Linked DNA regions of Callithrix jacchus. The protein of the gene in region 2 purifies or fractionates together with the protein of the main gene of each other region. This does not show direct contact. Links are inferred from orthologs where the notes say so. Each region holds a gene or a part of one and is shown on either strand. Other genes may lie near its edges. The genes, in order: SAP130, SUDS3, HDAC1, RBBP4 and SIN3B.

Evidence for each region.
Region 1: the proteins of SUDS3 (region 2) and SAP130 purify together in Homo sapiens (affinity purification with western blotting; 3 studies listed by BioGRID, with this or other methods). This does not show direct contact. The link is inferred for Callithrix jacchus from reciprocal best matches to the Homo sapiens genes SUDS3 and SAP130.
Region 3: the proteins of SUDS3 (region 2) and HDAC1 purify together in Homo sapiens (affinity purification with mass spectrometry; 9 studies listed by BioGRID and IntAct, counting the BioPlex papers as one, with this or other methods). This does not show direct contact. The link is inferred for Callithrix jacchus from reciprocal best matches to the Homo sapiens genes SUDS3 and HDAC1.
Region 4: the proteins of SUDS3 (region 2) and RBBP4 purify together in Homo sapiens (affinity purification with mass spectrometry; 5 studies listed by BioGRID and IntAct, with this or other methods). This does not show direct contact. The link is inferred for Callithrix jacchus from reciprocal best matches to the Homo sapiens genes SUDS3 and RBBP4.
Region 5: the proteins of SUDS3 (region 2) and SIN3B purify together in Homo sapiens (affinity purification with mass spectrometry; 3 studies listed by BioGRID and IntAct, counting the BioPlex papers as one, with this or other methods). This does not show direct contact. The link is inferred for Callithrix jacchus from reciprocal best matches to the Homo sapiens genes SUDS3 and SIN3B.

The regions. Positions count from the first base shown.
Region 1 is NC_133507.1:36,386,753-36,392,797, reverse strand, and holds part of SAP130 (histone deacetylase complex subunit SAP130), read right to left. Parts: intron 2,402-6,045; coding exon 2,166-2,401; intron 1,032-2,165; coding exon 873-1,031; intron 1-872. UniProt on the Homo sapiens protein: Acts as a transcriptional repressor. May function in the assembly and/or enzymatic activity of the mSin3A corepressor complex or in mediating interactions between the complex and other regulatory complexes.
Region 2 is NC_133510.1:121,433,339-121,439,915, reverse strand, and holds the start of SUDS3 (sin3 histone deacetylase corepressor complex component SDS3), read right to left. Parts: upstream 4,447-6,577; 5' UTR 4,291-4,446; coding exon 4,149-4,290; intron 1,638-4,148; coding exon 1,568-1,637; intron 1-1,567.
Region 3 is NC_133508.1:68,938,904-68,944,948, reverse strand, and holds part of HDAC1 (histone deacetylase 1), read right to left. Parts: intron 2,745-6,045; coding exon 2,606-2,744; intron 2,151-2,605; coding exon 2,009-2,150; intron 627-2,008; coding exon 534-626; intron 1-533. UniProt on the Homo sapiens protein: Histone deacetylase that catalyzes the deacetylation of lysine residues on the N-terminal part of the core histones (H2A, H2B, H3 and H4).
Region 4 is NC_133508.1:69,245,467-69,251,511, reverse strand, and holds part of RBBP4 (histone-binding protein RBBP4), read right to left. Parts: intron 3,658-6,045; coding exon 3,512-3,657; intron 1-3,511. UniProt on the Homo sapiens protein: Core histone-binding subunit that may target chromatin assembly factors, chromatin remodeling factors and histone deacetylases to their histone substrates in a manner that is regulated by nucleosomal DNA.
Region 5 is NC_133523.1:15,479,481-15,485,525, forward strand, and holds part of SIN3B (paired amphipathic helix protein Sin3b), read left to right. Parts: intron 1-1,522; coding exon 1,523-1,597; intron 1,598-1,769; coding exon 1,770-2,385; intron 2,386-3,192; coding exon 3,193-3,362; intron 3,363-5,953; coding exon 5,954-6,045.

The DNA.
Region 1 (6,045 bases), on a different chromosome or scaffold from region 2:
AGGTAAAGTTTTTAGATTTAGTTTTTTTCCCAGGTAAGGAATTTAAAATATTTAATAAAAAGCACACAGCAGAGTAGGATTGCAAAATTTCACAAAAAAACCTTAAAACAGGAGACTTCAAAATAAATGTTTGCAACTAAGGCTGGGTGTGGTGGCTCACGCCTGTAATCCCAGCACTTGAGAGGCCAAGGCAGGTGGATCACCTGAGGTCAGGAGTTGGAGACCAGCCTGACCAACATGGCGAAACTCTGTCTCTACTAAAATACAAAAATTAGCCAGGCATAGTGGTGCACACCTGTAATCCCAGCTACTCAGGAGGCTGAGGTGAGGGAATTGCTTGAACACAGGAGGTAGACGTTACAGTGAGCCAAGATCGTGCCGTTGCACTCCAGCCTATGATAGAAAGAGACTCTGTCTCAAAAAAAAAAAAAAAAAGTTTGCAACTGGAGATCTGCTTGAGGTAACCTACCAGTATCCCATGAGATGCACATCTGTGCTCCTCAGAGAAACCACAGAGAAGCACTGACCACCACTACTCCTAGGAGGCTGTTCTTGACACTAAAACCAAACACAAACTGGACTCCAGACTCCTCAAGGACACAGACTATTGTACCTAGATTTACATATCACACTGAGGGTCGAACCGAGCATACAGTAGCTGCTCAATAAATCCTGGCTAAATGACCACTATGGATACTGGCTCTACTCCCTTCGGTTATCCTTCTCTCTCAAACCTACTATTTTCCCTTGCAGGTATTGGTGACTGTTTAATTTTTTATTACTGTGCCTAATGTACTGCTAGCATTCAATAAATCATGATCAACAGTTTGGCATTTCAGTTTGAAAATCAGCAAATTAAAAGGAAGAAAAACCTGTTGTCCACTGATTGTTGCCACAGGAATGGCTGAAGCTTGAGGGATGCTACTCTCCATGGTAACGGTAACCTGCCCTGGAACCTTGGGGGGAAGTGACAGGGTAGAAGGTGGAGCAGGAGCAATGGGACGGCTAGGCATGGTGGGCTTCGGGGGTGGCTGCAAAGAGAAAACCACACAAAACATATCAATGGCCTCATACTGGTAATGCGTTTCAATCCACATTAAGAGTACACAAATCAAATGTGGAGAGTGGCAGGAAAGATGCTACAAGCTTTACACATTTTATCTATTTGTATCACAGTGCTTCCATTGAAGTACTAGCATTTTTATTTCACGAATGAAGAAACATACAAAGCAAGGCTAACTAACTCGTTTAAAGCCATGCACACAGTTAAGTAGAACTGGGAATAAAGCCCAGAGTTGCATGGCTCACAGCCCACACCCTTTCTTCTACATGATGTTGCCTCCCAAGTTTGGGTGGATTAAACAAAACTCCCAGTAACTGAAACATAACTCCAAGGTAATGCATAGGCAATATTCTCAGAAACCCCCAAATCAACCAGTTATTAAAACAAACATTAAAGAAGAGTGCCACTCCAGTTGGCCCCATGGTACTGGGTTATCATAACTCATTAACATTAGTGTCATCTGGACACAATGGCTCACGCCTGTAATCCCAGCACTCTGGGAGGCCAAGGCGGGCAGATCACTTGAGGCCAGGAGTTCAAGACGAGCCTGGCCAACATGGTGAAATACTGTCTCTACTAAAAATACAAAAATTAGCTGGGCACAGTGGCACCCACCTGCAATCCCAGTTACTTGGGAGGCTGAGGCAAGAGAACTACTTGAACCCAGGCAGTGGAGGTTAGTGAGCTGAGATCACATCACTGCACTCTAGCCTGGATGACAGAGAAAGACTCCGTCTCAAAAACAAAACGAAAAACATTAGAGTCATTAAGCTCCCACTGCGGAATCTGACTGGCTTAAAAAAAAAAAAGAAGGTCCCTCTCCAAGATTTTATCTAACTTAACATGCCAGTAAGTTGAATAATATCAATATCAGTATCAAAATGGTAACAGCAAAGATCCTGTGATGCCAACTGCTCAGCAGCACAAGACAAGGCACTGCAGAAAATCAGGGCTAGGCGACAGAGAAAAGCTGAACTCACAGGCCCTAAAGAAAATATGAAATATGATCCTAAGATACAGCCTAAGATTTTGGGCAAATTGTTACAAACATTAGCCAGTCTTTAGCTCTGGTTCAGTATGAAGTTTTAACCCTCTCCATTACCTTCATGAGTCCCTCCGAAAATGAAAGTGGCACTGCTGGCGTCAGGTGTGCTGGCGGGGCTGTCACCGCAACAGGTGTGGCTGATGCAACAGCATGGTGTGTGGACAACATCTGCACCTGTGGATAGGGCCTTACCACAACAGGCTCTTGCTTCTCTTCCCGGGACTGGAGGGAGCTGCTAGAACTCATGTGCTCCCTGGCACTGACTTCAGAATCTCGACCAGATTCATCATTGACTAGTAAAGACATTAAGAGTGAGACAGTATGTCACAGTCTCCCAAAGTAAGATTGCAGCACAGACCAGAGTGGCACCTAAAGTTAAATCTCAGGATTGACAATGTGACCATTTCCTTGTGATATTTTCTTAACAAGGCCAATTTGGGCACTGGATTCTCCTGATGGACTATAGACACAAAAGCCACAATTGTGTAATATAGAATTTATTCTGGATATTGTAGCTTTCATACCCTTACAAATAAACTAACTGAAAGTTAGCTAAAATGAGCTGAAATAGTTAAAAGTACAATACAGGATATGACAATTTCATTTAAAACATCTTCTTAAAATGTTATAGAAGCCTGACATTAAAAAGATATTTTATGCTGGCCAAAATGACAAAACCCCATCTCTACTAAAAATACCAAAAAAAAAAAACCCAAAAACCCACTTTTTTTGTAATCCCATCTACTTAGGAGGCTGAGGTGGGAGGATCGCCTGAGCCCAAAAGGCGGAGGTTGCAGTGAGCCAAGATTGCGTCATTACACTCTAGCCTGGGCGACAGAGGAAGACTCTGTCTAAAAATAAAAAATTTTAAAATATATGGCTGGTGCAGTGGCTTACACCTACAATCCTAACACTTTGAGAGGCCAAGGCAGGCAGATCCCTTGAACCCACGAGTTCAAGACCATCCTTGGCAATACAGCAAGACTCCGTCTCTGTAAAATATTCAAAAATTAAATGTGCATGGTGGCACGTACCTGTAATTCCATCTACTTTGGAGGCATAGGGAGAAGGATCACTTAACCTTGGGAGGTCAAGGCTGCAGTGAACCAAGCCATGATTGTGTTACCTGCACTCCAGCTTGGGTGAAACAGTGAGACTCTGTTTCAAAAAAAAAAAAAAAAAGAAAAGGTGGTAGGGGGCTGGGCACAGCAGCTCACACTTGTAATCCTAGCACTTTAGGAAGCCAAGGCGGGTGGATCATTTGAGGTCAGGAGTTCCAGACCAGCCTGACCAATATGGTGAAACCCTGTCTTTATGAAAAATACAAAGAAATTAGTCAGACGTGGTGGTACACGCCTGTAATCTAAGCTACGCGGGAAGTGGACACAGGAGAACTGCTTGAACCTGAGAGACAGAGGTTGCAGTGAGCTGAGATTGTGTCACTGCACTCCAGCCTGGGCAACAGAGCGAGACTCTGTCTCAAAAAAAGAAAAAAAGAAAAGATATTTTGAATACAATTTCTAACTTTAAGAACATGTAATTTTTCAAAACTGAGGGAAAAAGGAGAGATATTTTTCACTGTATGCTCTTTTTCTTTCGGAGTTTTGGATTACCAGAAGACGTATATCTATTTAAAAATTTTTAAATTTTTTCTTTTTAATCATTTTTTTGAGACAGGGTCTTGCTCTGTCTCCCAGGCTGGAACAGTGGTAGAATATCAGCTCACTACAGCTTCAAACTCCTGGACTCAAGTGGTCCTCTGCTTCAGCTGCCCAGGCAGCTAAGACTACAGGCACATGCCACCACGCCTGGCTAATTTTTACATTTTTTTTTTACAAAGAGCGGAGTTTTACTATGTTGCCCACTATGGTCTTGAATTCCTGAGATAAGTGTTCCTCCTGCCTCTGGCCTCCCAAGTGCTGGGATTACAGGTGTAAGCCACTGCACCTGGCCTATTTAAAAATTAAATTAAGTAATTTTTAAATACATAAGTATTTACTTATTTATTACATAAGTATTACTTATGTATTTAAAAATTAAGTGGATGCTAGGTACGGTGGCTCACACCTGTAATCCCAGCACTTTGGTGGGCTAAGGCAGGGAGACCAGTTGAGGCTAGGAGTTTGAGGCCAGCCTGGACAACATGGAGAAACCATGTTGTCTCTACTAATAATACAAAAAATAGCCAGGTGTGGTGGTGCACACCTGTCATCCCAGATAATCGGGAAGTTGAGGCATAAGAATCGCTTGAGCCTAGGAGGCGGAGGTTGGGAGATCCTGCCACTGCCCTCCAGCCTGGGGGACAAGAGCAAGACTCTGAGTCAAAAAAAATTAAGTGGAAAAAAAATCAGAGAATGAATAATAAAGTAATAAAGGAAGACCTTGTGAAAATATTAACTCATACTTTTCTATAATTTTTCCAAAATAATATTAACATTCTTTTTTTCTGAGCATTTACTTATGCAGAGAATTTAAATTATTTGAAATACCATAAAGAAAGTAAAGTTGCCCCCAGGCTTACCCCACAAAGGCACCAACACTTAAAAGTTCTGGCAACAGTTCCCTCCTCTTTTAAATTCTGGGTGGGTTTTTATTCATTTGAATTTTTTCCTTAAACTATGATCTTCATAAAGGTAAGTACACAAATGTTAGTTGTGCACTTTCATATGAAAGTTGGAATTTCATAAACTGAATATACCTAAGTAAATAGCACCCAGCTCAAGATAGAAAACATTATTAGTCCCCCAGAGATCCTTTGTTTGGCCCTATTCTAGTTACTGTCCTCCCAAGGAAACCAATCTCCTAACTTGTAACACTATAGATTAGTACTGTCTTGTTTTTGAACTTTATATAAACAGACTCATAACAAATACACTCAACTGTACTTTGCCTCTTTCACTGACAGGTATGTAATTCATCCACATTAGTGTACACAGCTGTAGCTCTTTCATTCTCAATGCTGTATATAGTACTACATGTGAGTAATGTACAAATTATCCATTTTACTCTTAAGAGACATTTTAAATAGTTTTCATTTTTTTCCTATTTTGAATAATGCTAATAATATTCTTGTACATGTCTTTTGATGAACCTATGTACCATTTCTACGCAATATATGCCTAGGAGTGGAACTACTGAGTAGAGAATACTGCATCATTCACAAGGTGAAATGGAGCCAGGCGCAGTGGCTCACGCCTATTATCCCAGCACTTTGGAGGCTGAGGCAGGCAGATCACCTGAGGGCAGGAGTTCAAGACTAGCTCTGCCTGTCTCTACAAAAATACAAAAATTAGCCAGGCATGATGTCTGGTGCCTATAATCCCACCTGCTCGGAAGGCTGAGGCGGAAGAATCACTTGAACCTGGGAGGCAGGGGTTACAGTGAGCCGAGATTGTGCCATAGCACTCCAGTCTGGGAGAAAGAGCAAGACTCTCCTCTCAAAAATAGGAAAAAAAAAGGTAAAATGAGAAACTACTGTATAGTTGTACAACAGCTTTTAAAAATCACTGTATCATTAATGGTCTTTTAGGTTATTTCCAAATTTTTGCTTTTAGCAACAACCTTGTCTAGTGATCTCTTCAGGAAAAAAATTTCTAAAAGTACAAGTGCTAGATGAAAAGACTGATATACATTTTCTTTTTTGCTATATATTAACTTTTCTCCCAGGTGATTAAAACCTCTTTATCGCTGGGCATGGTGGCTCACACCTGCAATCCCAGCACTTTGGGAGGCTGAGGTGGGTGCCTCACCTGAGGTCAGGAGTTTGAGACCAGCCTGGCCAACATAGTGAAACCCTGTCTCTACTAAAGACACAAAAAATTAGTTGGGTGTGGTGGGAGGCACCTGTAATCCCAGCTATTAGGGAGGCTAAGGCAGGAGAATCACTTGAACCTGGGGGTGGGGAGGAAGTTGCAGTGAGCTGAGATTGTGCCATTGC
Region 2 (6,577 bases):
TTCCAAAGCACAAAAACAATGAGAGAATCCAGAGGATGGCCACCAAACATTTGCAAAAAATAAAAGGAAAAGAATGTGGATCATCTTGTTAAAAGGTAAAGAACTTTAAAAACCTAACACATTCAACAAATATGTATTAAATATATTTTATACTGTCTTCCAACTGGGTATATGCTAAGAGTGAGTGGGATTTTCATTTCTCTGGATCTGTTCAACTGTGGCTCTGTCTGTAGACAATGAGAAGGCTTAGGTGAGAACACGTGCAAACATGGACAGAGCATTGGCCTAACAGTCAGCAGCCAGCTGGGTATAGTGGATCACTGGTAATCCCAACACTTTGGGAGGTCAAGGCAGGTATATCACCTGAGGTCAGGAGTTCAAGACAAACCTGGCCAACATGGTGAAACACCCTCTCTACTAAAAATACAAAAATTAGCCAAGTGTGGTGGCACATGCCTATAATCCCAGCTACTCAGGAGGCTGAAGCAGAATTGCTTGAACCTGGGAGGCAGAGGTCACAGTGAGCAGAGATCACATCACTGCACTCCAGCCTAGGCGACAGAGTGAGACTCCATATCAAAAAAAATTTTTCTTCTAAATTAAATAAATAAATAAGAGTCAGCAGCCCTGCTTTTCAATCATGGCTTCTCTGAGCTCTCTAGGCCTCTGGCACCTTGTCTAGCATGTTAGTGCAGTGAGTTCACACTTAGCTGAGAACCCAGTTGCTTCAAGACACTAATTACCATCTCTGTCCACTGGTTTTCCCATTAAAAAATAAAAATAAAAGGCCAAGCATGGTGGCTCACGCCTGTAATCCTAGCACTCTGGGAGGCCAAGGTAGGCAGATCATAAGCTCAGGAGTTCAAGACCAGCCTGACCAGTATGGTGAAATCCTGTCTCTACTAAAAATACAAAAATTAGCTGGGTGTGGTGACACACACGTGTAATCCCAGCTACTCAGGAGTTTGAGGCAGGAGAATGGCTTGAACTTGTGAGGCAAAGGTTGCAGGGAGCAGAGATCATTCCACTGCACTCCAGCCTGGTACCACAGCAAGACTCCATCTCAAAAAATAAAATAAAATAAAATAAAGGAGTAAGTGGTAAAAGGTCCTCTCCTGTTGTACGACACCATTCCCTCCCCTGTGTCTGTTTCCCTCAAGATTTTTTCTAGAGGGTACTCAACAGAGTCTTATAACGTGAAGACCGATTAAATGTAATTAACTTAAAATGGAGAACTGCAAATACACAAGGTCTTTGAAAGCGCTTTGGTCAAAACCATACAGGTAAGGTCACTGCAGATTAAGTATCCCTTATCTAAAATGCTTAGGAACAGAAGTATTTTGGATTTTTTCAAATTTTGGATTTGCAATGTACTTACCAGCTGAGCACCCCAAATCCAAAAATCTGAAATCCGAAACAGTGCAATGAGCATTTCCTTTGAGCATCATGCTGGTACTCAGAAAGTTCTGGATTTTGAAGCATTTGAGATTTCAGATTTCGGATGCTCAACCCATATGAAGACTTTGTCCACTCTGTTCCAGAAAAGATCCAGAAAAATCATACTCACTGTTCCTTCATTTCTACATAGTCTTCTTCATCATGCTTTGCCAGGTCAGTTTCACTAGCATCCTCAGTGTCTGAATAAAGTTAGGAAAGAGAGACTAGTTAAAACCATAATTCACAGAGTTTGTGTCACCTGACACAGAACGTGCACTCAATACACTCCCGTAAAATCAATTTATGTTCAATGCAGGCCTACAAAAAGCCATCAATGAAAAACATCACATACAGTTAGTTCGCCATCCCTATCTGCAGATGTGAAACCTGTGGACACAGAAGGGCAATGCAAAGAATTTGAGCATCCTCAGATGTGGTATCCATAAAGTCCTGGAACCAATCCCCCATGGATACCGAGGGACAGCCGTATTTCAGAAAAGAAAAAGCCATTTCCAACTTATGGTCAGATTTACGCAAAAAGCTTGCCTTTAATGCCTGTAATTCCAGCACTTTAGAAGGCCAAAGCAGGATCACTTGAGGCCAAGAGTTCGAGACCAGCCTGGCCAACATGGCGAAACCCTGTCTCTACTAAAAACACAAAATTTAGAGCCAGGCACGGTGGCTTACGCCTGTAATCCCAACACTTTGGGAGGCAGAGGCAGGTAGATCATCTAATGTCGGGAGTTTGAGACCAGCCTGATCAACATGAAAAAACCCTGTCTCTTCTTAAGAGACAAAAAATCAGCTGGGCGTGGTGGTGCACGCCTGTAATGCCAGCTACTCGGGAAGCTGAGGCAAGAGAATCGCTTGAACCTGGGAGGTGGAGACTGCAGTGAGCTGAGATGGCAGCTTCCAGCCTGAGCAACAAGAGCGAAACTCCATCTCGAAAACAAACAAACAAAACAAATTAGCCAGATGTGTGGCAGGTGCCTGTAATCCCAGCTACTTGGGAGGCTGAAGCAGGAGAACTGCTTGAACCCAGGAGACGGAGGTTTCAGTGAGCTGAGATCGCGACACTGCACTCCAGCCTGGGTGACAGAGACTCCATCTCAAAAAAAAAAAGATTACCTACAATATCTAATAAAATGTATAGTGTTTAGGAATAACAGAAAAAATCTGCACATGTTCAGTACAGATCCAGCTTTTTTTCCTGAATATTTTTGAGCTGCACTTGGTTCAATTCACAGATGCAGAAACCACAGACATGGAGAACCAACTATACAATAAAAAAGGGGAATCTGTCACAAATAATTGAAATATTTTCCAAGTGACAAGGGAAAAAGAAGGCGTCCAGATGATCAAACAAAAACTGTTTCAAAACATCTTAAACGTTGTTCTTAAAACAAGCTAATGGCTGGAGTGTCTACAAAATTTCAATAGCCCCTATAGCAGAAAGGAAAAAACTCAATTTTGGTTCCGCTTCTCCCCCTCGTGGGCATGCGATGCAGTGCAAGTGCTTCACAGTCGAAATCTCTCTAAGCAGTGTCTTCCGATGGAGTTAAACCTAATGCAGTTCCTTCAACTTTATATGTCACGTATCTGCAGCTTTTGTAAGGCTGCTGCAGATCCAAATCCCCACAAACTCTTCTCCTCTCTTTCAGTCAAGAGGCCTTCCCTGAGTTCCCGCCAGCCACATTACTTGGCACTCAGAGACTCAGATGAATAAAACATATGCCCCATTCCAAACAGCTGGTCTAGCTTTTGCTCCACGGCCCGATTTTGCCCCAGAATATTCGACTCATATATCGGTCTCTATCCCCTCTTTCTTCTCCCTTGACTTTTCACAATTCATCATCTTCCTCCTCCTCCATCCCTCCAAAATAGTGTTCCTCACACTTGCCAAATTATAAAGCCCAGTTTGAAAAGCAAGACTCGAGACGCTGTAATGACAGTGTAAAGAGCACCGACTGAAAACATAACACCTGGGTACCATTAAGCAAATCCCTCTCTCTCACCTGTTTCGGGGGGGTGGGAGATGGGGAGAACATTTACTGCACAAGGCCAAGCAATTTATGCGCATGTCATTTAATCCTTATACCGACCCTAGAAAGTGCTTTCCAGTGCAAGCGTGGGAATTAAACAGCTCCATTACAGCTGAGTAAATCGAGGCTGCAAAGCGTAAGTTTACAAACCGAGTAAAGTGACAGAGCAAAATTCAAACCTGTATCTCGCTGGTTCTAGGTCCCTTTCCTTTTTTAACCAACCTGAGTTCTCAAGCCTGTACCACCTAAAGTATAGCTTACGCATTTCGGGGGGGGGAGAGGGGCAACTTAGGACTCTGATGCTCTCAGACACAAAAAAGGGGTGAACTACACTCGGTGCATTCAATAGATGAGTTTCCCATTCCCACTAGTGAAGATCTGAGGTTCAATCAGAGACGGCTGGGAGGGAGGACAGGGTCTTAAAGAGACCCCCAGAGTGACAACATGTAAGTCCCTTCTCCCCATCACAGTCGAGTGTAACGCACTCAAGGTTTCCCCCGTTAATCTAGCATGGATGGGGGTAACTTCCCCGAGCCCCGCAACTCCCAGCGGCCCCTCCACGCAGCCCCAGGCCCCGGAGGCCGCCCCGCCCCTCTTCCAAGCAGCCCCACCCCCTCCCCAAGCGGTCCCACCTCTGCTCCGGACGGCCCGGCGAGCTGCAGAACTCACCTTCGTCCGAGTCACGGCCTCGACAGCTGCGCTCGTCGTCCTCGGCGCTCTCCAGCTCTTCGTCCTCCTCGGGGTAGTACTCGGGGGCCGGCGGCGCTCCAGCCGGGGCCGGGGCCGGGGCCAGCAGACCGGCGGCACTCATGTCGCCTCTGACCGCGGCTAAGCGTGGCCCAGGGACACCGCGGCCACCCGCGCTGGGCACTCGCCGTCTGTCTAGCAGCGTCCGACCGAGCCCCCAACTGGAGGAGCGGGAGCCGCGGCGACCCCTTCCCCGTCTCCACCGAGCTCCGCCCCCCGCGCCCGCGCTCGGCAACGGGGGCCTCGCGCCTCGGGCGACTTCCGGGTCGAGAGCTGCCCGACGACGGCCTGACTCCGCCATTCTTGGGAAAGTGAAGAAGCCGCTGGACGCCCCGGTCGCCACAACCTCAACCCTTTCATCGCCGTCTTAAAATTCTCAACGTATAGTGGGGGAGGGGCGGGGGCAGGTTCTCTAGAGTCAGGCAAATCCTCGGGCAGGCCCAGCAGCGGTCAGGACCCCGAGGCTCGCCGGCGACTTACGGAAACAGCCGCCAGGCGGCGTCTGGAGCCAGAACTAAAGCGGCGATCGTTAGCGACTTAGGGGAGGAGGGTTTGAAGGGCCCTTGGCAGGTGGAGGTGGTCTCTAATTTAAGCAGTGGAACTACGCGAACTGCCCCCTAATTAGGTCGGGAAACCTAGACATCCAGAGTGTGCGTGGTCATGCAGCCTGGCTCCTCCTCTGACTATTTGGAGCATTATTAAGGGCTAAAAGACACGGATGATACGCCATCCTGGGGTTAGCAAAACAGCATTTTCTCAGTCCTTGGGAATCCTTTCTGTTTGTGTAAGGTTTATACGATAGGATGTTCCCCCAGTTTTACAAGAGAGAAATGAACTGTCATTTGCCTTAAAAAAAAATAGTAACGTCCAGTCTGACGTTTTAGACTCCAATACCCAGGCCCTTCACGATACAGCTTCCTTGAATATTCATTTTTTTAAAGATGTTTTTGCCTAATCCAACAGCTTGCTCTGAACTCTCAACTGAGGAAGGGGAGAATTTGCCTACCAGATGTAATTTGGCTAAGTAAGGCCCATGCGAAAGCTTAAAAAACAAAAGAGTTGCGTATCTGCAAGAATGAATTTGTGTGATTCCGAGTAGAAGAGGGACACGTTATAAGTTTTGCTGAGCGAATAGATAGATTTAAGGTGTCCCTTTAAGAGCAGTGTGGTCTAGTTGTGTGCAGCGAGAAAAAAAAAAAAGTTTTTTTAATGGTTTCTCCAAAGTAGCCCCACTTTTATGTTCCATCTGAGTCTCCATAGGAAACGCAACCGATAGTGAAAATGAACACAGATGTGAAAAATAGGGTGGAACCAAAATATTCCCATTCTCAGACCTTTTGTGATCAAATTTATCTCTGAATTGGCCTCCATGGACTCTTCTAAAAATGAAACGTTATTCTCATCCCATTTATTTTGACATTTACTTACTACCTTGTTTTAATTAAAATATTGGCTCTATTTGTAAGGGATTTTTTTCTCCCAGCAAAACTAAAGAATTTCCAGAATGGAATCCTAAGATGTCTTTCCAGGAGTTCCAAGATCTTCTGAAGCGCCTTCTAAATAAGAGTCACTCTCAGATCTCACCGTAGGTCTGCCATCTATATTTAAACTTAGGATTTCAGAACTGTCTCCTGTCCAAAAGATGAAGTCATTTTCTTTCTTTGTGCTGTTGGGTCACATCTAAATTATTTGCAATCAAATATATTGAGTAACTTTCGTGCCTGTCTGGAGAATAATCATAGTGCAGAAAAAGCAAAGATTTTAGAAATCAGAGTTCATTTATATAATTTTAAAGTTTATTTCATTGCTAAATGGTTTCAAGACGCTGAGATTTTTATCATGCTTGTTTTATTTCTATCTTCTTGACTGCAAACAGCATCAATGGTGATGCATTTCTTTTTTATTGTAATGAATAGACTCAACTGAGCACTTGGGTGATGAAAACTTACCCCATTTTTTAAATCCAGATTGCCAGCTGCAGAACTCAAAAATGCTCTTTAGTGAAGGTGGACCTACTCAAAAAAATTCTCTTAATGGCTTTAGTCTTACCCAACCTTATAGAGTTGTTTAATATGATTTTGGACAGTCGCTATAATCCTGTAAAAATCAAGTACAAAACCATGTTTTACCACCTCGAAATCTTTTTCTATATCCCTTCTCAAAATGGTACTCAGCCACACCACTCAGGAAACACCTCCTTCAGAACTCGACTTGACTTGAAGTCATGCCAGCTCCATTTCCACAACTTCTTTGCTTCTAGGCCTTCTCTGCCTACCCTAACACCCAAACTGAAACTTTAAAGGGGAGTATCACAATTGGAATGAGGTATGATTTATTTTTTTTATTTTTTG
Region 3 (6,045 bases), on a different chromosome or scaffold from region 2:
CTAGGCCAGCCTGCCCATGGAACAGGCCAGAGAGCCTTTCCACAATCTCTGAATGGGCTGACTGGTGAAGGGCTTTCCCAGATAAAGCCAATCTGCAAAGACTGGAGTAAGTCCCTACTTCTTCAAATGTGCAGACATCAGTGTAAGGCAACGAGGAACATGAAAAACCAAGGAGACATAGCACTACCAAAAGAACACAATCATCTCCCAGTAGCCCAGAGAGACAGAGACACAAAACACTACTAACCACAGACTACTGGATATGTGCCTGCCTTTCCCACCATAGTCCATGAGGGCAAAGATCATGTCTTAGATATGTTTGTATCCAGCAGAAGACCTGACCCATAGAAGGAACCATCAAATATGGATGTTTGTTCCCCTAACTGACCACACAGCAATCCAGGGTTCAAACACTTCTATTTCCCCACCAGCTTTAGTAAGGAGAGATTCCTGAGGTATCATGGGGGTGTTCTGCTCCCCTGCCCTAGACCAATCCCCTTTTTGTAGCCCAAGGAGTGCATAAAGCCACTTACCGGCTTGAAAATGGCCTCATAGGACTCGTCATCAATCCCATCTCGGAGCGGGTAGTTAACAGCATAATACTTGCCTTTGCCAGCCCCGATATCCTAATTAAGAAGGACATGAAAGTAAAACTAAAGGATGAAGCTTAAAGGAAGGTCAGGGATGCAGGCTGGAGGGATAAAGGAAGAGGTTCTAAGAGAGATAAGCTAGGCCCATGATGTGGGCCAGGACAGAACAGGGGTACCTTGTGAGTACCATTCTCTTCACTCACCAATCTAGCTCACATCTCTAGACATAGCATTAAGCCTACACCTAGGCTGAGAGCTACTGATGGGCGTAGAGACTGAATACCCTACCCTGTGGCACAAGATTTCTACCTTGGGATTGGGTTAGGGCTGGCTGGCAGGTGGGCCACAGAAGTAACAACCACCCCTGACAACCCTTTCCACTCCAGAGAGCCCTAATGCTCACTCCTCTTCCCCCATGCTCCCTCTCTAGGGTGGTGTGGAGGGAAGGAGAGAGAAGAAAGTCCTTCCCAGGAACCTCGAAATAGTGAATGTGCCTGTAATTCTAGCACTTTGGGAGGCCAAGGTGGGTGGATAACTTGAGGTCAGGAGTTCAAGACCAGCCTGGCCAACATGGTAAAACTCCATCTCTACTAAAACTACAAAAATTAGCCAGGCATAGTGGCATGCACCTATAATCCCAGCTATTCTCAGGCTGAGGCATAAGAATTGCTTGTACCCAGGAGAAGGGAGGCAGAGGCTGCAGTGAGCCAAGATCACACCGCTGTACTCCAGCCTGAGCAACAGAGCAAGATTCTGTCTCAAAAAAAAAAAAAAAAAAGTGAATGTTCATTTATTCTAATGCTTGCCATAGCAAACAACTGAATTAGTGCCACTTTTTTACCCAAGGGTCACTGGGCATGGCAAACAGCTGATTTCACTGCATTCATGCTAATAGAAGCAGATGGAACAGTTCAAGGAAGTAGTTTCCACGGATTCTTATCCTAAGGTTCATGGATGGGCTTCAGCAAGGGGACTTGTTTATTAACTATTCCATATCAGATGTAAAATTGCATGTACTTTTCTGGAGAGAGAGTCCATAGCTTTCAGTCAAAAGGCTAAAGGGGAAAGTGACATAAAAAAACATTAAGAACATCTGAGATGGTTCTTCAGAGTCCTAATTCCTAGTCCCAAACTCAAGCCTTATGAGACATAAGAATAGTGTGATGCAACCTAGCATGGCCAGGAGGGAAGTACAGTGAGTCAGGAGACCCCGCTCCTTTCTCTAACCCTTCATGTCCCATCATTCCCTTCCTCCAGAAGAAGGAAGGGAAAGAGATCAGGGCAAGTGCCTCAGACTGGGACATAGTATTGTGAATGGCAGAAGAGGCAGGAAGCAGTTTTTAGTGGCACGACATAGGAGAGAGAAGTAGAGCTGGCAGCTGAGGGTGAGCTGGTTGGCTCCTAAAGGGATTTCTCACCCGTAGGTCCCCAGTTCCTGGGAAGTACTCTCCATACTTATGAAAGGACACAGTCATGACCCGGTCTGTAGTATAGAAGGCCTCTTCCACACCGTCGCCATGGTGAATATCAATGTCAATATACAGCACCCTCTGGTGATACCTAGGATCAGAAGGGGGTCAGGGGTCTGGGGGCTCTTTGGGGATGGGACGCGCCAAGGGCGCCAGGTCCCAGCTTACCGGGCTGGCTGCCTCCCTCAGGTATCTCTAAGCACCAGAGACGTGGAAACTGGCTGAAGGAAGGTGGAAGAGCGGCCGGGTGTCTCCAGAGGCCTGACCAAGCCGACCAAGTCCAATCTTCCTACTCTACAGCCAGGGTCAACTCCAGCCACACAGGGACACTCTGGAGGCAGGATCTGAGCAGTACCTGCCCCTGATCATGCCGTGGCTCAGATCAAACCAAGACCCCGTTAAGGAGGTGATGGCCAGAGACACTCACCAATCACATCCTAGCCAGCACATTGGTAGAAAGCAAACTAGGGAGGCAAGCCCAGGGGAGAGGGAAATGGGAACCTGGCCTAAGGTGCTCCTCCAAGAGACAAGGCCAGGCAGGCATACTTTAGCAGTTCCAGGATGGCCAAGACAATATCATTGACGTAACAGAAGCCAGATGCCTCGGACTTCTTTGCATGGTGCAGGCCCCCAGCCCAATTCACAGCGATGTCCGTCTGCTGCTTATTAAGTTTCACAGCACTTGCTAGGCATGGAAAGAGAGAACATAAGCCCGTTACTAAGCCACTCTCCCCTTCCTCCAGGTAGCCCAGGGAACCCAGTGAGAGGTAGGACCTGCCTAATCAACAGCTATATTAATAAATCAGTCCCCTCCCTCCCATTCTACTCCAGCAGGAAATAAACATGATACTGGTTACTCTTCTTTTTTGAGACGGAGTTTCGCTCTTGTTACCCAGGCTAGAGTGCAATGGCGCGATCTCGGCTCACCGCAACCTCCGCCTCCTGGGTTCAGGCAATTCTCCTGCCTCAGCCTCCTGAGTAGCTGGGATTACAGGCACGCGCCACCATGCCCAGCTAATTTTTTGTATTTTTAGGAGAGACGGGGTTTCACCATGTTGACCAGGATGGTCTCCATCTCTTGACCTCGTGATCCACCCGCCTCAGCCTCCCAAAGTGCTGGGATTACAGGCGTGAGCCACTGCGCCCGGCCTGATATTGGTTACTCTTAAAAAACTATTTTCCAAACTGATGGTAGTAACCCATTAGCAGCCGGGCGCGGTAGCTCAAGCCTGTAATCCCAGCACTTTGGGAGGCTGAGGCGGGTGGATCACGAGGTCAAGAGATCGAGACCATGCTGGTCAACATGGTGAAACCCCGTCTCTACTAAAAATACAAAAACTTAGCTGGGCATGGTGGTGTGTGCCTGTAATCCCAGCTACTCAGGAGGCTGAGGCAGGAGAATTGCCTGAACCCAGGAGGCGGAGGTTGTGGTGAACCGAGATTGCGCCATTGCACTCCAGCCTGGGTAACAAGAGCGAAACTCTGTCTCCAAAAAAAAAAAAAGTAACCCATTAGCAAGACTTAAAGCTGATTTAGTGGGTCATGACTTATTAGTCATATTTTTAATGAAATACTGTAGAATAAAAATAGCAGGGTAGGCCAGGCGCGGTGGCTCATGCCTGTAATCCCAGCACTTTGGGAGACCGAGGCAGGTAGATCGCCTGAGGTCAGGAATTCGTGACTAGCCTGACCAACATAGTAAAACCCCGTCTCTACTAAAAATACAAAAAATTAGCCGGGCGTGTTGGTGGGCACCTATAATCCCAGCTACTCAGGAGGCTGAGGCAGGAGAATCACTTGAACCCAGGAGGCAGAGGTTGTGGTGAGCCGAGATTGCGCCATTGCACTCCAGCATGGGCAACAAGAGCAAGACTCCATCTAAAAAAAAAAAATCAGGGTAACAGTAAAGGTAACTGCTCGTTGGTAAAACTCTGGCTTCAGAGTAAGGGACTGTGTACATGCACGCCTATGTGTTATACGTATCCTGGATTGCATGTGTAAGTTTATTTCTTACTGTGGCTTATGGTCAAGGAACTTCAAAAAATACCAAAGATAGGCTGGGCATAGTGGCATTCCAGCACTTTGGGAGGCTGAGGCAAGCAGATCATCTGAGGTCAAGAGTTTGAGACCAGCCTGGCCAACATGATAAAACCTCGTCTCTACTAAAAATACAAAAAAATTAACTGGGCGTGGTGGCATGCCACTGTAGTCCCAGATACTCAGGGAGGCTGAGGCAGGAGAATCACTTGAACCCAGGAGGAAGAGGTTGCAGTGAGCCAAGACTGCATCACTGCACTCCAACCTGGATGACAGAGGAAGACGTCATCTCAAAAAAAGAAAAAGAAAAAATACCAAAGACAGTGCCAGGACACTGGGTCAAACAGCATTACCACAGATAGGTCCAAGAAGAAGTAAAAGAGAAATACACACTCATGTGTGCAAGTGCATTGGAGTGCAATAGTGCAATCTCGGCTCACTGCAACCTCTGTCTCCCAGGTTCAAGTGATTCTCCTGCCTCAGTTTACCAAGTAGCTGGGATTAGAGGCATGTGGCACCACACCTGGCTATTTTTTTTTTTTTTTTTTTTAGACAACAGTCTCGCTTTGTGGCTCGGCTGGAGTGCAATAGTGTGATCTCGGCTCACTGCAACCTCCACCTCCTGGGTTCAAGCAATTCTTCTGCCTCAGCCTCCTGAGTGGCTGGGATTAAAGGTGTGTGCCATCATACCCGGCTAATTTTTGTATTTTTTAGTAGACACGGGGTATCACCATGTTAGTCAAGCTGATCTCAAACTCCTGACCTCATGATCCGCCTGCCTTGGCCTCCCAAAGTTATGGGATTACAGGCATGAGCCACCATGCCCAACAATTTTTCTATTTTTAGTAAATACAGGGTTTCACCATGTTGACCAGGCTGGTCTCAAACTCCTGACCGCAGGTGATCCACCCGCCTCCACCTCCCAAAGCACTGGAATTACAGGCATGAGCCACCATGTCCAGCTGCTGTGTTAATTTTAACAGCAATACAAGCATAGATTGATCCAAATGATCACGAAGAGGGAGAGATTATATCAACTCAAGTAGATCTACAACATGGAATAATCATAGAGCCACAAGAAAGCAAGCTGTAGAAAACTATAGACAATTTCGTTAAGTAGGAAATGCAGGCATAAAACCATGTATTTGTGATATGTATATAACTCATTTTTATAATATATACATGTTTCTATGTGTTACACAGATATATACACACACAAAAAAGAATGACCGTACAAACACCAAAATGGTAACAGAAGTTATCCACCAACCCTGTGACTGTGGGTGACTATGCTTTTTTCTGTGCAATTTTTCTTTGTTTTCTGTGATTATACTGGTGGGGCAGTGGGGGTATACACAATGATTATATTGGGGGGGGATCACAGGGAAATAAATATTTGTTAAGAAAGGGTTTATCATAATCCTACAGATAACCCAAAAGTTGCAAATGGAAGTGGGAGATATGTGGGGAGTATTTCTGACCTCTAAAGGTAATTACCATACTTTTTCATAGGACAGATTCACAGATGATGACACTTCCGTTTTTATAGCACTTTGCAGTTCACAAATTGCTTTTATGTACAGCATCTCAATAACCCCAGGAGATTCTGCAGAGAACTCCTGTATATAAGATATTTTAGCAGGAGAGGACAGTCAAGGACACCTGTCAGTACCATGTCAGAGATTGAACCTGGGCTGGGACTGAACCAGAAGGACATTTTAGACTTTTTAAACTTTTTTTTTTTTTTGAGACGGAGTTTCACTCTTGTTACCCAGACTGCCAGACTGGAGTGCAATGGCACGATCTTGGCTCACCACAGCCTCTGCCTTCTGGGTTCAAGCAATTCTCCTGCCTCAGCCGCCCAAGTAGCTGGGACTACAGGTATGCACCGCCATGCCCAGCTAATTTTTGTATTTTTAGTAGAGACGGGGTTTCACCATGTTGACCAG
Region 4 (6,045 bases), on a different chromosome or scaffold from region 2:
AAAGCAACGTAAACTGAGAATGAACCCTATTAAGTCCAACGTTGGCAAGGGCATGGAGAAACAGACATAAATACATATGCTGTTGTGGGAATGTGAATCTTTTTTTTTGGAGTACAACTTAGTAGTATCAATTATATTCAGAAATGGTCCTGCCCTTTGATCCAACATTCTACTTATAAAGCATTTCTATAGCAAAACTATGCTTTTGAAGTAAAAAAATTAGAAACCAGGACTGGTCACGGTGGCTCACGCCTGTAATCCCAGCACTTTGGGAGGCCGAGGCGAGTGGATCATGAGGTCAAGAGATTGAGACCATCCTGGTCAACACAGGTGAAACCCCGTCTCTACTAAAAATACAAAAAAAAATTAGCGGGGCATGGTGGCCCGTGCCTATAATCCCAGCTACTCAGGAGGCTGAGGCAGGAGAATTGCCTGAACCCAGGAGGCAGAGGCTGCGGTGAGCCGAGATCGCGCCATTGCACTCCAGCCTGAGTAACAAGATCGAAACTCTGTCTCAAAAAAAAAAAATTAGAAACCATCTAAATGTCAATTAAAAAGGAATGATTAATTATGGTCTACTATATAACCATCAGAATATATTACAATACATCCATTTAAGTGATCTCCAGGGGAAAGGTTTTTTTTTTTTTTGCCCAGGCTAAAGTGCAATGGTGGGATCTTGGTTCACTGCAACCTCTGCCTTCTGGGTTCAAGTGATTCTCCCACCTCAGCCTCCTGAGTAGCTGGGATTACAGGTGCGTGCCACCATGCCTAGCTAATTTTTAGTAGAGACAGGGTTTCACCATGGTGACCAGGCTAGTCTCCGACTCCTGACCTCAAGTGATCTACCCACCTTGGCCTCCCAAAATGCTGGAATTACAAGCCTGTAGCATCACACCTGGCTGGGCAAATGTTTATAAGAGAGAAGGGGTGTGTTTTTTTACTCTGTGTGTGTGTACACACATAAAATATGTTTATACACACATATATACTTTTACAATTTATCACACTATCAATCGGAGTATTTGTGCCTAATTAACACCAAGAACAAAAAAATTTGAAGACAATTTATCCTCATTTAACAGAACTGAAACTGGGCTCAGGGAGGCTAAATGATTCACCCAAAACCACAAAGCTAATAATGGTACAACTCTGGGCTGGGCACAGTGGCTCATGCCTGTAATTTCAGCACTTTGGGAGGCCAAGGTGGGTGAATCATTTCAGGTCAGGAATTCCAAGACCAGCCTAACATGATAAAACCCCACCTCTACTAAAAATACAAAAAATTAGACGGACATAGGGGTGCATGCCTGTAGTTCCCAGCTGCTATGGAAGCTGACGCAGGACAATCTCCTGAACCTAGGAGGCGGAGGTTGCAGTCAGCCGAGATCGCTCCACTGCACTCTCGCCTGGATGACAGAGCCAGATTCCATCTCAAAAAACAAAAAAACCCAAAAAACTAGTGGTACGACAGGTTCTAAAGAAGTTCAGTGTTCTCTTTCCCAGCCCACATCACAGATCGCTATATAGAGAATAACTTTCCAGAAATCACTCGGGTCACATTTGGGTCAGTGACACAAAAATCATGTTTGCTGACCTTTGTAAGAACTTATTTGGCATTCTGCATCACACTAAGCTAAATGTGGAATGACCAAAGACTAAACTGCACAATTACAATCCTGGCAAATAACTATAAACCAAAAGAATTTTGATTTAAAAATGAATTCTGCTAATCAGGAGAACCCCAATAATGGGAGCCCATCTTCTATTTTTTGACAATACTTTGGTTTAAGGATAAAGGAAACTCACCAACTTCTACCTCTTTTGAAAGAAAAAAAAATATATATATATATGTTGGGCTGGGCGTGGTGGCTCAAGCCTGTAATCCTAGCACTTTGGGAGTCCAAGGTAGGCAAATCATGAGGTCAGGAGTTTGAGACCAGCCTGACCAACATGGTGAAACCTCGTCTCTCCTAAAAATACAAATATTGGCCGGGCATGGTGGCGCATGCCTGTAATTGGCGTCTGGGATTACAGATGTCAGCCACTATGCCCAGCCTGTAGGTTAAATTTTTATACACATAGGACGTGCCATGGTTAAGTCATTTCTACCACTTTAAACCTAGAAAGGGTAATTTATGTTAATGTTTCCAAACGTTTTCTTTTTTTATTAATGCTCCTTTAAGAAGGGTTTTAAGAACTAGCCCTGGCCCATGAAATACCATGGATATCCTAGGTACTCTGTGCATATCTGTGCTTTACACAATCAACCAGTAAGATTTACATGTACTCTCACACATACACAAACCAATTTTCACCTCGTTAGGGGTAGTATCTCCCATGTTAAGAATGTACAGCAGGCTAGGCGCAGTGGCTCACATCTATAATCCCAGCACTTTGGGAGGCCGAGGTCAAGAGATTGAGACCATCCTGGTCAACATAGTGAAACCCCGTCTCTACTAAAAATACAAAAATTAGCTGGGCATGGTGGTGTGCGCCTGTAGTCCCAGCTACTCGGGAGGCTGAGGCAGGAGAACTGCTTGAACCCAGGAGGCGGAGGTTGCGGTGAGCCGAGATCGTGCCATTGCACTCCAGCCTGGGTAACAAGAGCGGAACTCTGTCTCAAAAACAAAAAAAAAAAACCGTACAGCAATATGGCTAGGTGTGGTGACTCACATCTGTAATATCAGCACTTTGGGAGGCTGAGGAGAGTGGATCACCTGAGGTCAGGAATTCCGAAACCAACCTTCTCCAACTTGGTGAAACCCCATCTCTACTAAAAATACAAAAATACACCACAAGCATGGTGGCGGGCCTCTGTAGTCCCAGCTACTCAGGAGGCTGAGGCAGAAGAATTGCTTAAACCTGGGAGGCAGAGGTTGCAGTGAGCTGAGATCACACCACTGCACTCCAACCCGGGAAACAGAGCAAGACTCTAAAAAATAAAATAAAATAAAGATGGTGCAGTGGCTCACCCAAGTTTGAGACTAGCCTGACCAACATGCTGAAACCCCATCTGTACTAAAAATAACAAAAATGAGCCAGGCGTGTTCGTGGGCACTTATAATCCCAGCTACTTGGGACACTGAACTAAAAGAATTGCTTGAACCTAGGAGATGGCGGTTGCAGTGAGCCGAGATCGTGCCATTGCATACAAGTCAGGATGACAGAGCGAGGCTCCATCTCAGGAACAAAAAACAGACAAACAAAAAACACTACCAATTAATGTACAGCAATAATATATATTTTTGCTTCTTTCAATTATAGAAATTTCCTCCGCCAGCATCAGATGAGAAAAGTTCATTGCAAAGGTATAGAACCAAGGATGTGTTAAGTATTTCTTCTGACATCTACAACTCTACCACTGCAAACTCGGGCTTTCCCCCAAGCTTAAATATTATTTCTAAAGTTGGAGATTACTTTATCAAACTAAATATATAACTTTTACAATTCAAAGACATGAAAGATATGACCCATACATGTTTACTTCCTTCACCTTTAAGATTCCTACCTCCTTTCTCACTGTCGTAGTGTGATGCATCAAACTGAGCATCATCATTAGGGAGTTGCACACTGGCTATCACAAGATGGTTTTGTTCATCCGATGTGTGTGTTCCCAGCACAAGTCGATGAATGCTGAAATCTTTCCCTTCTGGTCTGTAACAGCAATATACAGTCATTATTCAAATTAGTAACATCAAGAAAACACAAAGTCAACAATATACATGTTATGTAAAAGGGACTATTACAACCAGGACTTTTCGCCCGGGGCTGGAATGGAGTGGTGCAATCTTGGCTCACTGCAACCTCCAGCTCTTGGGTTCAAGCTGTTCTCAGCCTCAGCCTCCCAAGTAACTGGGACTACAGGCACCTGCCACACTTGGCCTCAAGTGATCCACTGACCTCAGCCTCCCAAGGTGCAGGGTTTACAGGCAAGAGCCACCATGCCTGGCCTTATTTTCTACTTAATTATTCTGGAGAAAAAGTAAAACGTTTAATGGAATAAAATATGAATTAACTACTCACTCACTACAATAGGTTAGAGGTTAAGAAAACCATTGTTGGGTATGCTAATGATTTTGTTTACTAAAACTTTCATTAAAAAGGAAAAAAGGGGAAAGGGTGTAAAGAAAATCCAAAGAAAAAAATGAAAAAAGGAAAAAGAGAAAATTAGATTAAGCAAACCAATTTTTCAGGTATTTACTAAATACCTAATCAACAGACACATTGCTCCAAATGCTATGGAAGTACAAAGATGATTAAGACATGAGTTTTGTCCTTTAAAAATCCTCAGCTGGCTAATCCCAGCTACTCAGGAGGCCAAGGCATAAGAATGGCTTGAACCCAGAAGGCAGAGGTTGCAGTGAGCGGACATCGTGCCACTGTACTACAGGCTGGGTGACAGAGAAAGAAAAGAGAGAAAGAGAAAATTAAAAAATTTGCCTAAGATCACACAGCTACTAAGTAACAGAAGCATACTGAAGTCCCAATCTGACTTTTGATATGGGAAAGCACACCGGGAGAGAAAGCCGATTAAAACTTACTTTTTAGTGTCCTGAATGCAATCTTAAGACATTCTGTACTCCATACTGGGCCAAGGGCATCCACACCATCTGGGAACTTATTAGAAATGCTAATTCTCCCATCTACTCCAGACCCATTGAATCAGAAACTCTAGAAGGCGGAGCACAACTATGTTTCACAATACTGCCAACTGATTATGATGCATATAAAATTTTGAGAACCCCTGGTAGAGATGGCAAAGACGCTACACAAGCAGAATTCATTGAGCTTTATAAATTGACTGCCTGTAAAATGGAGAAAGAGAAAATGGAAAACAAATGCCAATTAGGATAAAAAGAAATAGGAACAATATGAAGAGAAAGTTGGGGTAAGCTCTTCATGGAAGGAATTATTTCATTTACAATATGTCTAATTGGGGAAGCCAGTAAGATACATCAGGGAAGACAATAGCAAGCAGAAGAAAAATCAGGAAAAGCTCTGGAGAAGTTAGGTCTAAAGATACCAACAGGAATTCTGCACAGATGTGACAAGCAAAGCTTTGAGAACATCTACCATACACTGAAAAAACAGAAGTGATTGTTTCCTATGATCCGTGAAATAAATTTAAAGAGAAATGAAAAAAAAAAAAAGAGAAATGAAAAGAGGGATATGAACAGCAAATTGGAATTACCTGCATATAGAAGGCTAGAAAAAGAACAGGAAGAATGAAGGAGAGGACAACGCTACAGAACTACAATTGTAGTTTTTCTTTTTTTTTTTTTTTAAGGGGGAAATGGATATGAATAAACACCAGAAAAAGAACACACAAAGTAAACACTGCATCAGAGCTGCTTGCTTGTAATTTGTAACCCTCATCTTAAAACACAAAAATAGGGCCAGGCACTGTGGCTCATACTTGTAATCCCAGCACTTGGGGAGGTCAAAGTGGAAGGATCATTAAAGCCCAGAAGTTAAAGAACTGTCTGGGCAACACAGCAAACATTTTTTTCAAAATTTAGCCAGGCATGGTAGTGTGTGCCTGTAGTCCCAACTATTCCAGAGGCTAAGGCAGGGGGATCCCTTGGCCTAGGAGGTCAAGGCTGCAGGGAACTCTAATTGTGTCACTGCAACCCAGTCTGGACCACAGAACAAGGTCCTGTCTTTTTTTTTTTTTTTTTTTTTGAGACGGAGTTTCGCTCTTGTTACCCAGGCTGGAGTGCAATGGCGCGATCTTGGCTCACCGCAACCTCTGCCTCCTGGGTTCAGGCAATTCTCCTGCCTCAGCCTCCTGAATAGCTGGGCAGCTACTTGGGCAGGTTAATTGCTTGAACCCAGGAGGCAGAGGTTACAGTGAGCTGAGATCATGTCCCTACACTCCAGCCTGGGAACAAGAGCCTCCATCTCAAAGAAACAATTCTCATTATCTGGATTTGCTAAAGCAAAAAACTAAGATGATAGTACAGATTTCAGCCTTGGGGAATTAAGTATTTAATTCTTGCTTTCTAAACCTAGCTAGTCTTTCTATTTTTTTTATTTTTATTT
Region 5 (6,045 bases), on a different chromosome or scaffold from region 2:
GGCAGTGCCCAGATCACAGTGGGAGCTGCATTGTCAGCCTCGTGCCCACCTGAGTAGGGGCATCACCTCACCCAATTCGGTTTCTTCTTGCTGTCACTGCACAATGAGTGGTAGCTCCTCCTTTTGCAATGCAGAAACAGAAGCCACAGGAACCGGGCTGCTGGCCTGAGGCCTCTCCCACAGCCTGTGGGACTGTGGAGACCCCCTTCTCTTCCACCTCCCTCCCTATGGGCTGCCCTCGCCGCAGGCCCACCCCACAGCCACTCTGGCTTCCTCACTAGCCCTCCGCGGATCCTCAACCCTGAGACCCTGCCTACGTTCTGTGAGTCTGTGGCATCTGCAAAGTGTAGGTGATGAAGTGGCTCTGGAAATCCACTGATGCAACCCCAAGTTCTTCAGACCCCCATTCCATCATGCAGTTTACAAAGCACAGTTACGGACCACAGACATGGGGACCCTGCTTCAGAGGGGACTGTAAAGGAATTTTGAAAGTGTTTATGGCATAAATGAGACCTGGGGGACTTAGGAAGCAGTCAGAGGCCAGAGGCCCCACTGAATAGCCCAGAGCGGAGCTGAGTGTGCAGACTCCTAGGAACCAGCCCAGTGTGCTTGGCCTCTACGCTGCCCTGCAGGGGAGGAGGAAGGGAAGCCTCAGGCTGCTGGAAGACCCAGTGCTGCCCTCGGGAGCTCCCCGCCGGCAGAGACAGCATCCACACTCACTTTCCTTAAGAGCCCCGGTGCGTCTGCCTCCCTGCCTGGTGCTGAGGGGTTGGGACCGCCCAGCACAGTGGCGTGGCAGGCTGGAGGAAGGAGTGATTGTCTTCCGCTGTGAGGGAATGAAAGTCACGATTTGGATAAAGACCAAGGGGAGAGGTGAGCCTGAGGGAGGGGTAAGCCTGGGATGGGGTTTTCCAGGGAGTGAGAGCAGATGGGCATGTGCAAAGGCCCTGCACATGCAGGAGGAGCTCGACGCCCCGAACATTGCAGGAAGGAGCTTGAGGGCTGTAAGGCCAAAGGTGCTTCGGAGGGGTGCGCCAGGGCCCGGCATCTTCTGAGCAGCCTGGGGACCATTAGTCAGGGCGACCTTGCTCCTGTTGGCCAAACTGCCCAGGACCTGGTGAGGAGAGCGGTTGGAGCAGGGTGGTGGGAGGGCTGGTGGAAGGATGGTGGTAGCGAGCACATGCAGGGGATGGCAGGTGACAGCGTTGGAGACGGGCTTGGTGACGATGGGCGTGTGGGGCTTCAGATGTGAGAGTTGCATACCTCCCGGGGAGTAGATGGAGGGCAGAGGCTTGAGGTCAAGGCTCACTCTGCACCTCCTTGACCTCATCAACAGCGTGGTATGGGCAGCCATGGTCAGGCTGGAATCAGGCGCTGCCGTTCTTGTCAGTAGTAGGAGGTCTGCCTTAGAGGCTTCTCCGTGCTGAGCCATGGGGCCCTGATCTGTCTTGGAGTCGGGCTGAGTGACAGACCCAGGCTTGATGCTGCCAGACCCCCTCTGACCTCTCCCCTCCCGTCTCAGAATCCTCTCCTTTGCCTGGCGTCCCTGCTTTTGGAGAGGGGATCAGGAGCACATGGCACTGCACAAGAGACTGAGGCAAGCGCCCCGCGCCCCCAGGCCCTGCTGCCTCACTGACGCTGCTCACCCACCCCTCTCTGGGCAGCGCTCATCCACCTTGGTGGCCTATCTCACAGCAACTCACGAAGGGCATGGGGGTCCTCTGGGTGCTGGGTGGCTTCCTGCCTAATGGCCATCCTGTCCCCCACAGCACCAGGAGCAGCACTCGGAGGCCCGCAGTGCCCCCTCCAGTGAGCCACACCTTATCTTCGTGTACGAGGACCGGCAGATCCTGGAGGACGCAGCAGCACTCATCAGCTACTACGTGAAGCGGCAGCCGGCCATCCAGAAGGAGGACCAGGGCACCATCCACCAGCTGTTGCACCAGTTCGTGCCCAGCCTCTTCTTCTCCCAGCAGCTGGACCTGGGCGCTTCCGAGGAGTCAGCCGACGAGGACCGGGACAGCTCCCAAGGGCAGAGCACAGAACCCAGCGAACGGAAGAAGCCAGCGCCAGGACCGCATAGCAGCCCCCCGGAGGAGAAGGGGGCCTTCGGGGATTCCCCGGCCGCCGAGCAGCCGCCCCCGCCACCCCCACCTCTGCACAAGGCCCTGGATGATGTCTATAGCCTCTTCTTCGCCAACAACAACTGGTACTTCTTCCTGCGCCTGCACCAGACCCTGTGCTCCAGGCTGCTGAAGATCTACCGCCAGGCACAGAAGCAGCTCCTGGAGTATCGGACCGAGAAGGAGCGGGAGAAGCTGCTCTGCGAGGGCCGCAGGGAAAAGGGCAGCGACCCCGCCATGGAGCTGCGGCTGAAGCAGCCCAGTAAGGATCCAGGGCCTCCTGGAAGGCCCTGGGGGTGCCTGGGGTTTGGGATCACAGCTCATCATCCCACACGTCCTGTTTCTTTCTGGCTTTTCATTTTAAGAATTCTGTGATTTCAAATGGGAAATTGCAAACAGGAAGCTGCCAGCATCAGACAGGTCTTGTGAACCCCTTGCCCAGGCTCCTATCCTGGGTTTAGCACCCTTTCCTTACCAGGAAAGCTGTGTGTCTCACAGCCCTTCCCGTAGAGCCGTCACAGCCAAGCTCCACAGCACATTTTTTTTTCTGAGATGGATTCTTGATATGTTTCCCAAGCTGGAGTACAGTAGCATGCTCTCGGCTCACTGTAACCTCACCTCCCAGGTTCAAGCGATTCTCCTGCCTCAGCCTCCATAGTAGCTGGAATTACAGGCATGTGCCAGCACACCCAGCCAATTTTTTGTATTTTTAATAGAGACAGGATTTCACATGTTGGCCAGGCTGGTCTCGAAGCCCTAACCTCAGGTGATTCACCTGCCTTGGCCTTCCAAAGTGCTGGGATTACAGGCATGAGGTACCGTGCCTGGCCTCCACAGCACTTTCACTGCCATCCCTGGGTTGCCAGTCAGATTAGGCAGCCTCAGGAAGGGTGGCGGTGAACACGTTACTCGGGTTTCCTGCTGATGCCCAGCCTGGCCCCAGGGGTCATGGGTGAAGGTTGCTGGGCCCCAGGGGGGCATTTGTTGGGGTGCTGTGGTGTCACAGCTTGGTCTGTATGGCTTCTCGCCCCCCTGGGAGGCATGTGGATAAAACCATGTGTCTCCACAGGTGAAGTGGAGCTGGAGGAGTACTACCCAGCCTTCCTGGACATGGTACGGAGCCTGCTGGAGGGCAGCATCGACCCCACGCAGTACGAGGACACCCTGCGTGAGATGTTCACCATCCATGCCTATGTGGGCTTCACCATGGACAAGCTGGTACAGAACATCGCGCGGCAGGTGAGCCGGGGCGGGGCCGACACTCAGGACGCTGCACATGGCCCTGCCATGTCATTTCACTCCCTTGCCGGGAGGGGGCCCGTGGTCAACAGTAAACCTGTCCTGATTTCTTGAGACAAAATTCTCATAACGTAAAATGAACCATTTTGAAGTGTCCAGTTTGGTAACATTTAGTACATTCACAATATTGTGCAGTCTCCACCTCTGTCTAGTTCCAGAACATCTCATCTTTCCCGGAGGAGACCCAGTCCCCAGTAGCAGCCACTCCCCTTTCCCCCACCCCGAGCCCCGACATCCAGTGATCTGCTTCCTGCCTCGCGGTTTCCTGCGCACTGCGTTCATTCCTTTCTATGGCTCTGTGATACTCTGTTGCATGGCTGGCTGCGTTTCGTTTCTCCATCTCTTGGTGACCATCTGGCCTATGGCTGCCTGCAGAGACGGTGAACAGTGCTGCTCTGAACATTTGTGTGCAAGTTCTTCTGAGTCCCTGTTGACAAACTTTTGAGGGTAAATGGACAACATGGAAAAACCTTAACGCACTTATCCTGGGCGAGGGTGGGAATAGCGCTGCTCACCAGCGTTGGCTTTAGCAGTAGCAAAAACCAGCCCCTGCTGAATGTCACCACAAGGAAACCAGTCACCTGGATAGAAACAGCAGACGTCCCAGGCGAGCTGGGTGTCGTTCCAGGACATGGGTCCTGCTTGGTTTCTGCCAGCAGCATTGTTCGTGGTGACTTCTGTTTCCTGGTCACCAAGTAAGGCTGTTCATCATAAAGCGGGAAAAAAGCTGGAAAAAAACTAATGCCATTACTCTCCCACTTAGACACAGTCACGAGAAGCATTTCACACAAGATGCTTCCTTCCCGGTTTTAAAGACTGCTTATGGAACTAAAAATCACACGCAGAAAAGTCCCCAAATCTGAAGGGGGCAGATGGATGGGCTTTCATCAACAGAACCCCTGCCCCTGTGTCCCTACCCAGCCACCTGCCACCTGTGGACACCAATAACCCTAATTTTTTTTTTTTTGAGACGGAGTCTTGCTCTGTTGCTAGACAGTGCAGTGGTGCAGTCTCAGCTCACAGCAACCTCCACCTCCTTGGTTCAAGCGATGCTCTTGCCTCAGCCTCCTAAGTAGCTGGGATTACAGGCGTGTGCCACCACGCTTGGCTAATTTTTGTGGTTTTAGTAGAGATGGGATTTTGCCATGTTGGCCAGGCTGGTTTTGAACTGACCTCAGATGATCCTCCTGCCTTGGCCTCCCAAAGTGCTGGGATTACAGGCATGAGCCACCACGCCGGGCATCACAACCCTGATTTCTGCACAGAGGTAGATCCCTGGTCTTGAAGCACACAGTGCCCAGCTGCATCCTGGGAGTATCATTCGATGAGATTCCTGTGTTGAGATGAACTGGCCAAGGATTCCCAGGAATGATCCCCGTTCTGTCTCTGGCCACAGGACTTAGAGAAACCCACAGCTGCGTCCTGATACCTTCGCTTCAGCCCCCTCCACTTTCCCTCTGTGTGCCCATCACCATCCACAGCAGTGGCCACTTCCGGGTGAGGGAGATGCACACGGAGCAGCCTGGAGAGAGGACACCCAGGGCCCAGCACATGGTGTCAGGGCAGCAGTGCAGGGATGCCAGAGGGCTGGCACTCTGTCCCCCAGGCTGGGCACCCCTGATGGGCCACGGGTTCAGGGACAGCAGCTTTGCTGTGGCACCAGGAGATTGGACCAGATGGTTTATGGAAAGCATTGATCTAGAATGCTTTGAAAAATCCTCCCCTTCCATAAACCTCTTCTCTAGAACCTGTTAAAAAGCAATGAAAATCGCTGGCTGTCTAGATCTGTCGTCAGGGCCTCACGCTGCCCTGCTGTCCCATCTGTGGCCACACCACAACCCAGGTGCTCACTGCAGGCCCCACCACACTGTTCGTAACCTGCCTTGGGACCATGTCTGGACTCTGCCTCACTTTTTCTTAAAAATCAGCATTGCTGTGTTTTTAGCAGTAGCAACTGACATTCAGTGGGTACCTGCTGTGTGCCAGTTACTGTCTGAAACCTGTGCCTGCCCAGGTGTGATTGTATCCATTCAAGAAAGCTGCACGTGGAACCTGCAGGGAGTGTGGTCCTGCCCAGGGCCCAGGCTGTGCAGGCGGGCTCACACCAGCCCTGTCTGCCCCACAGCCCCTGCTGTCTCCATTACTTTCTCCTTCAGCGCAAAGGTAAAAGGAGTGGCAGGGTGTTTATAGCCAAGCATTTGGGGGAAAGGAATGGCCTACACTGACACCCCCTTCACGTCATTCCTTGGTTTGCTTGGGCACATTTTTGTCCATGTCTCCATGTGTTTCTCATACCCAGGGAGGGTTTGCTGGTCTGGTCTCTTCTGAGCTGGTCTCATGTTGGCCTGGGCTGGTCTGTTTGGCCTGGTCTGTTTGGTCTGCACACAACCTGTCAGGATCCTGGTGTTCATCCCGTGTCACGCACTCTCCAGCCTGAGGTGTTTCTGGCCTTTGCCAACTCCCTCTGTGGGTGAGGTGGGGGCTCCTGCAGGAGACGGGGTAGTAGCACTACCTGCTCTCCCTCCCACCAGCTGCACCACCTCGTGAGTGACGACGTCTGCCTGAAGGTGGTGGAGCTCTACCTGAACGAGAAGAAGCGGGGCGCTGCTGGCGGGAACCTGTC